2 linked regions of the Saccharomyces cerevisiae S288C genome follow. Each later gene encodes a partner of the first gene's protein in a complex. Each region holds a gene or a part of one and is shown in the gene's direction. Other genes may lie near its edges. The genes, in order: SLD5 and PSF2.

Region 1 (3,712 bases):
GGGCTACATCTACAGTTATTGTGTATGCAGTTCCATGCCTGTCGTCATCATTGGATTCAAACTTCATGCCTGTTCTCAGTAGTGGAAGGTCCAACTTATCAGCAATGGCATTCGTCATAGGTGCACAGACGTAGCCTGAGGAATGGCGTACAAGAAAGGCCATTTGTTCAGTGCTGACATTTTCAGCAGCGCAAATAAGATCACCTTCATTTTCACGACCGGCATCGTCCATAACAATTACAAACTTATTCTGCTTGAAGTGTTCTATAGCTTGATCAATTGGTGTAAACATTTTCGACGTTGCCTTTTCTTCTTTTCCTTTCCTTTTTTTTAGCCTTCTGCTTTTTGTTGGAGATATTTACATTCACCTCACATATATACGCCAATGAAAATTTCACAATAGCACGTATATTAATAATAGCCTTGCTTTTTTTTATCAATTCTCGCTAAGAAATTACTCATCAGGCAATAACCTATGCTCACCCGCCTCGAAGCGGCGTTAGGAGATAACAGTGGCCGTGTAGAGGGACGTCTTAGCATCGAAAGCCCAATTTACAACAACGAGGCGACCATCTGCACACCACACTTGACACCGTAGAGTGCGACTATTTTCCCCTCCATTGTTTTTTTCGAGCCAGCGTGCACGTAGTACGGGCCCCCCTAACAACAATGGCGCCCCTATGATAGCTTTCCCTGCTCGCGCGTCCCACAGCCGCACCGTCCAGTCCGTGGAACATGATAATAGAAGCATTAGCCGCCGAGCATCGTCCCAATGAAACTCTAACCCGGTTACCCTCGTAGAGTGGTTTTCTGCAGGTTGGAACCCATTGTTGTCCAAAGAGAGGTACAGCGGCCCAGGTTGGTCCCAGAAAACCTTGTATATACCACCGTCTTCGCCACCGATCCAGACGTACTGCGGGTCCTCACTCGTGTACGCCATGCAAGCTATACCTACCTCATCAAACTTTGCCAACCGCTGCAATCGCTCCGTATATGTGCAAGTATCATTCTCCAAAGATAAAAGCTGTGATAGCGGTACAGGACGGAGCTGCTGTGGCTTCCGCAAAACAGTCAAGTCCAGGCAGCTCAACTCCATAATATTGCCATTATCAGCTGCCACAAGTACTCTCTCTTGATCTTGCACGCTGCTTGTTTCAATTACAGCCACCACTGGGTGCTGAAAGTAGTGTCTTGCCACCATATTTCGCTGCACGACATACACTACCGGTGTTTCTGGCTTTTTCTGTTTCAATCTAAGCTCGTACAATATGATCTTGCCCGTCAAGGTCGCCAACAAGATTGATATTACATTGCTTTCCGGATGATACCGACGGAGGATCGTGGCTGTCATGATCCGCGTACCACGGAACTCTACCATATCTATCAAGAGGCCGTTGCGTCCGCTGGCATTATCGCACTTGACTACATTCACCACAGACCACGCCGCTTCGCTGCTAGCATACTGTAGGTCTGCCGGCGGCAATCGTAGATAAACCACAACCAAGACGCCTTTTCCTGGGTCATACTCCTGAGCGATACAATCGCAGTCTGTCTCTGATTGTAAATTCTCACTGACCATGTTCCATTGCATGAGGTTGTCTTTATCCTGTTGCATGTTCGATGGCGCCTGCTGGCCTGACGCAGAAACCTCTGTCTCCAGCCGCGCAAAACTAGCGTTGCTCAGCGTTGCCGCCGCCTCTTCAACAAGAAAAGGTTTGGCTAGTTCTAACCTTGGCTGGTCGTTTTCAGCTTTGTCTTTATTATTTTCGTCGGCAGCAGTAGTTTCAATGGCGACAGCATCAGTAGTGGTGTGATTTTCATTTTCTTGCAGTTGTTCTTCCTCAATTTGATCTGTTTGAATGCCTTTGTCGTATGTTATAACCTCCTTACGTCGAAGATATGCAGATTGGGGCTCTTGAATCTTTGAGCCTTCCTCCATGTCGGTCTGCACTGAAACGCTGACCATGGTTGCCTTAGCGTGCACCTCTGTGGGATGGTGGCCCATCGTCTCGCTCCCAGGGAACAAGCTGGCTTGTTTTCGCCTCTCACGCAGCTCTTTCAATTGTCTCCTTTTTTCCTCCAGTTGCTTCAATCGCTCCATCTTAATGTTTCAATCCTTCTTCCTCTTTGGTTGATTAACCAACTGTGATGCTCTTTTTTCCCTTTTCTCTTTGTTTACGGCAAAACACGAAAACTAGTTCATTTCTTTTTCTTTTCGCCTTGGACTAGTACTGAAAATTTCAATAGCATTATATTTGAGCCATAGGTAAGAAAAACCAAATTTGTTAGTATTGGGAAGGAGAATAAGATACCTGACTCGGTGATGGACATTAACATAGACGATATTCTTGCAGAACTGGATAAGGAAACTACTGCTGTCGACTCTACCAAGATCACGCAAGGTTCTTCTTCCACTACCCACAGAGATGCAAATACAATAGTGGGTTCGTCCTTAGACTTGAATGACAAGACTCAGATATATGTCTCTCCCCAGCAGGATTTTTCTGACTTGATGAAGTCTTGGAAAAATGAACGGTGTTCGCCAGAACTCTTACCATATCCTCATCAGTTGATGAAAAGATTATTGAATCGAATATCCATGCAATCTCAATTAATTGAAAACATTTCAATGGGATTCCTCGATATGCAAAATGCTTCTAATGCGAACCCGCCTATGCCTAACGAATCTAAATTGCCTTTACTCTGCATGGAAACTGAGTTAGAAAGATTGAAATTTGTTATTAGAAGCTACATACGATGTAGGCTAAGCAAAATTGACAAATTCTCACTTTATTTGCGCCAATTAAATGAAGATGAAAATTCGCTGATCTCTCTTACAGATTTACTATCCAAAGATGAAATCAAATACCATGACACGCATTCCCTGATCTGGTTGAAACTAGTCAATGATTCTATCCTGAAATACATGCCCGAAGAACTTCAGGCTATTAATGATACAGAAGGTAGCGTAAACATGATAGATGAGCCCGACTGGAACAAATTTGTCTTTATACACGTTAACGGCCCACCAGATGGTAAATGGAACGAAGATCCGCTATTGCAGGAAAACGAGTTCGGTAAACCTTGCTACACGGTCACAATACCCGATTTAAAGGAAGAGGTTGAACTCACTATTGGAAGTATTTACGTTATGAGATATGAAGTCATTAGGGATCTGCTGAGAGACGACAAAGTTGCTCTTATTTGAACTATTATGCATTACACTTTCCCCTTCACCATGTCTTACATATGCATATATATATATTATCAAGCACAGTTTCATTTTTCATCTGTCCGTGTCATGTTTTTCCGCATTTGTGTCGATCTTGCCAGCAATTTTGAGTAATTAGATGACGATCGGGTCTGCAACGAAGTGGGACGTTTTGTGTGAAGTGCGCCTTCTTCGGGTGTCTTTAAGATGCAACGGTCCGGTAAACCATTTATTAGCCTATTCGATTGAGGTACGGGAGGAGCTTGATTCTTTTTTTTTGTATTCTGTCTTTTTTGAAGAATGAACTTATCAAACATTTTATGGTCCGACTTCGGCGATACTACTTTAGGTTTGGCGGTCATTCCATTATGTATTAATTTCCATAGTTTCATTAAAACTGCTCTCTCTTTGCATCCTATGAAAATCGTCCTGGAACCGTCAATTTCAAGGACTTGATCACTTATAAAGCGTATCTTCTCAACGTCATTCAACTCTAGTTCG
Region 2 (2,995 bases), on another chromosome or scaffold:
CATAGGTAAGAATTGCAATGCCTTCATAATCACCTATCACAATAATTGTAGCTATTTTTCCATTAATCCTTTTTATGTAGTCATGCAAATCCAAAGATCTTTTAAAGCTCTGATCGATGATGGATTTAAATTTGTTGATATCTAGTTTTGGACTATTGCTCGAGGGTTTTGCTCCTTTCTCAGGTACGTGAAACTTCTTTGGAAGCCCAATTGAGTTGAATTGAGTCAGCGTCTTATAGTCATAAGTTTTGATATGGACGCCCTTTTTGAGAACAGTTGTCACTAAAACTGCATCTGAGTTAGAAGGAGCTGCATTTACCTGTTGGGAAGGCAATTCATACCATGCGTGATCATCAAACATGTTGGCTGGTGAGTCTATCTCGCCGTCCTTTTTTTTAAACCTTGGTAAAGAAGAAGAAATTAGCGATCGGTCTGTCAATAAATTATATACTAAAGGATTTTTCCTATCTGATGATAGTGCGGCAGCTTTGACAGTTGTAATCAGTCCCGTTGCTGTAGCCGCTAGATTTGATAAAACTTTGTCCATCAATAACAGGTTTTCTAAATGATCATGGTATTCACATTCTAAGGAAGATATCTCATCTTTTTTAACGTACACCTCCATTCTGTGTAACAGGTTTTGGGAGCGTGGCTCTCGTTTGGTTAGAGTGCTTATATTGTGAGATAATGACGAGGACAAATGCTCGAGTTCCTGAGAAAGATTGATGAATACATGAGCGTTATCATTTCTCTCTCCCGAAGGTATACCTCCGGCATTATTTAGAATGAAGAATTTGTCAATGTGTGGAATATTCCCTTGGCACAGGCAATCCATAAATTTTACAACATCCTTTGTCATGAATTCTGAAGCAGTCTCTTCATTATACACATAAGGTTTCACAATTGGTATAAAATTGGAATTTCCAATATCAAAGAAACGACTCTCTTGCGAAAAAACAGAATGATATAACCCAGTGCGGGATTTAGTAAGACCCTCCTTAAGGTGAAGTGGCTTTAAATCTGCTTCTGTAACGATACTGTCAAGTAACTCTGCCTGTATATTTACATGAGTTGGCGACGGCGGAATTACAAACATAGGTCGCAAACCTAGCATTCCTAGTCTCTTTATGACACTTGAAAACTGGGACAAAATCGCTGGTGCGACTTTATGCAGGTCCCTGATAAAAAACAAACAATGATTATGCTGCCCACTATCATTTGTATATTTTGAGAGATAATCCTTAGCCTCTCGTTTTGTAGCGGTTGTATTCAGAACTGAAAGGATCAAGTTTTTTGAAGATGCATTGGGTTGATCATACTTGAGTTCATGCGCGAATATTCTCCTCCACATGATAAAAGTAACCGACTAGTGTCCTAGATTGACGGTCCTAGCTTCAAATGTGTTAACTTTCACAATTTATGTCGAACGTGCTTATGACTCCATGGGAAGATCAGTGATGACTAACCTTTTTTTTCTCCAGCGTGAAATTTCTTGTGATATTTTCCATTTAATGAAAAATCAGTCGCCTAAAGTGTAACTATGAAATGGTTAACAAAAAAGAGTTTTATACTTAGAGAGGATCAACGGCTGATCTGAAATAAGACTAGTTTCATAGACGCATGTCACTACCGGCACATTTGCAGCAGACTTTCTCACCAGAAGAAATACAGTTCATTGTGGAAAACGAGCCAATAAAGATTTTTCCCAGAATAACAACACGCCAAAAAATTCGTGGCGATGATAGAGGAACTGGAAACCACACCCGCTGGCAACTTATTACTACAGATGACAAAGCTTTAAATAATATGGTAGCCATGCGTTCTACAGAAGTGGTTCTTTGGATCGCTCTATTACTGAAGCAACAATCCAAGTGCAGTATTGTAGCACCACAGTGGTTAACGACGAAAGAGCTTGATAGAAAAATACAATATGAGAAAACTCATCCGGATAGGTTTAGTGAGTTGCCGTGGAACTGGCTTGTCTTGGCACGTATACTTTTCAATAAAGCTAAGGATGATTTTCATGACCCCATTCACGAATTACGTGGTAAAATACAAGACTTAAGGGAAATAAGGCAGATCAAAGTGTTAAAAGGCCTTAAGTATTTGAATGAATCTCATTTACAATTGGATAATTTAAGTCTATTAGAAATCAATGAGTTGAGGCCGTTCATTACTGAAATCATGGATAAACTGCGAGAAATTCACACAGCATCTCTTACCGCTGGTACTGAAAATGATGAAGAAGAATTCAATATTTAAAAAAGTGCTGGCTTTGCAATAATTAGAACTTTCAGTGATATGCGTATGTATATATATGTACTTGTTGTGGTATCCTAGTTAATGGGCATAGAATGTATTTCATCAAAGCCCAAAATTCATTTTAAAGCCATTTCCGAATGGGAAGCCACTTCCTGGATTTTTGAACATGTTATTTTGCCTAGGCCCCTGAGGAAAAGTGTTGCGGCGGGGGTTTGATCTGGAAAGATCGTATTCCTTCCTTTTATCGTCATCACTTAATGTTTCGTACGCTTCATTGATTTGTGACATAGTTTCGTGAATTGATTCTTGTTTGTCGTTATGGTTGGCCTTTATTTTGTCTGGGTGGTATTTTTTGGTTAAATTTAAATATGCTTTCCTTATTTCTTTCGAACTAGCACTAGGCGATACTCCAAGAATTTTATAATAGTCCTTTTTTGGGTCGTAGTTAGGCGCTGCTGGGGGTGCTTGATGTCGTTGGTGTTGTTGCTGCTGTTGTTGTTGTTGGAAATATTGCTGGTTGAAATTCCGATGTTTATGCTCTTTATAGGTTTGTAATTGTTTCTGTAATAATCGGAAGTTCTTCATCACGTATGGATTGGTCGACTCTGAGAGGCCGTTATCTTGGAAAAATTTGTTTATCTGGTCATATAATTGCTTTTTGAACTGTGAATGAGGTTTAGACCTACTTTTATTAAGTATTGAGTTTACCATATACATCAGCAAATGAGGATTG

Evidence for each region.
Region 2: the proteins of SLD5 (region 1) and PSF2 are in contact, whole or in part, in a cryo-EM structure (PDB 3JC6), measured with the Saccharomyces cerevisiae proteins. Residues at the interface, in NP_010777.3 of Saccharomyces cerevisiae: Pro56 (codon at 2,489), Gln57 (codon at 2,492), Phe60 (codon at 2,501), Met64 (codon at 2,513), Trp67 (codon at 2,522), Lys68 (codon at 2,525), Arg71 (codon at 2,534), Arg90 (codon at 2,591), Gln94 (codon at 2,603), Ile101 (codon at 2,624), Glu121 (codon at 2,684), Ser122 (codon at 2,687), Leu124 (codon at 2,693), Pro125 (codon at 2,696), Leu127 (codon at 2,702), Cys128 (codon at 2,705), Met129 (codon at 2,708), Thr131 (codon at 2,714), Glu132 (codon at 2,717), Arg135 (codon at 2,726), Phe138 (codon at 2,735), Val139 (codon at 2,738), Arg145 (codon at 2,756), Cys146 (codon at 2,759), Ser149 (codon at 2,768), Asp152 (codon at 2,777), Asn225 (codon at 2,996), Lys226 (codon at 2,999), Phe227 (codon at 3,002), Phe229 (codon at 3,008); in NP_012463.1 of Saccharomyces cerevisiae: Leu3 (codon at 1,627), Pro4 (codon at 1,630), Gln8 (codon at 1,642), Gln9 (codon at 1,645), Thr10 (codon at 1,648), Phe11 (codon at 1,651), Ser12 (codon at 1,654), Glu15 (codon at 1,663), Phe18 (codon at 1,672), Ile19 (codon at 1,675), Asn22 (codon at 1,684), Trp50 (codon at 1,768), Leu52 (codon at 1,774), Thr54 (codon at 1,780), Thr55 (codon at 1,783), Asp56 (codon at 1,786), Asp57 (codon at 1,789), Lys58 (codon at 1,792), Trp74 (codon at 1,840), Ile75 (codon at 1,843), Leu78 (codon at 1,852), Leu79 (codon at 1,855), Gln82 (codon at 1,864), Lys84 (codon at 1,870), Trp117 (codon at 1,969), Glu165 (codon at 2,113), Ser166 (codon at 2,116), His167 (codon at 2,119), Leu168 (codon at 2,122), Gln169 (codon at 2,125).

What each region holds. Positions count from the first base shown.
Region 1 is NC_001136.10:1,428,689-1,432,400, forward strand, and holds SLD5 (DNA replication protein SLD5), read left to right. Parts: upstream 1-2,323; coding exon 2,324-3,208; downstream 3,209-3,712. Other genes in the region: 3,4-dihydroxy-2-butanone-4-phosphate synthase RIB3, read right to left, coding at 1-292; PAC11 (dynein intermediate chain), read right to left, coding at 500-2,101; serine/threonine protein kinase PKH1, read right to left, coding at 3,280-3,712. UniProt on the Saccharomyces cerevisiae protein: Required for DNA replication. Functions as part of the GINS complex which plays an essential role in the initiation of DNA replication by binding to DNA replication origins and facilitating the assembly of the DNA replication machinery.
Region 2 is NC_001142.9:304,488-307,482, reverse strand, and holds PSF2 (DNA replication protein PSF2), read left to right. Parts: upstream 1-1,620; coding exon 1,621-2,262; downstream 2,263-2,995. Other genes in the region: ARG2 (acetyl-CoA:L-glutamate N-acetyltransferase), read right to left, coding at 1-1,351; JEM1 (Jem1p), read right to left, coding at 2,365-2,995. UniProt on the Saccharomyces cerevisiae protein: Functions as part of the GINS complex which plays an essential role in the initiation of DNA replication by binding to DNA replication origins and facilitating the assembly of the DNA replication machinery.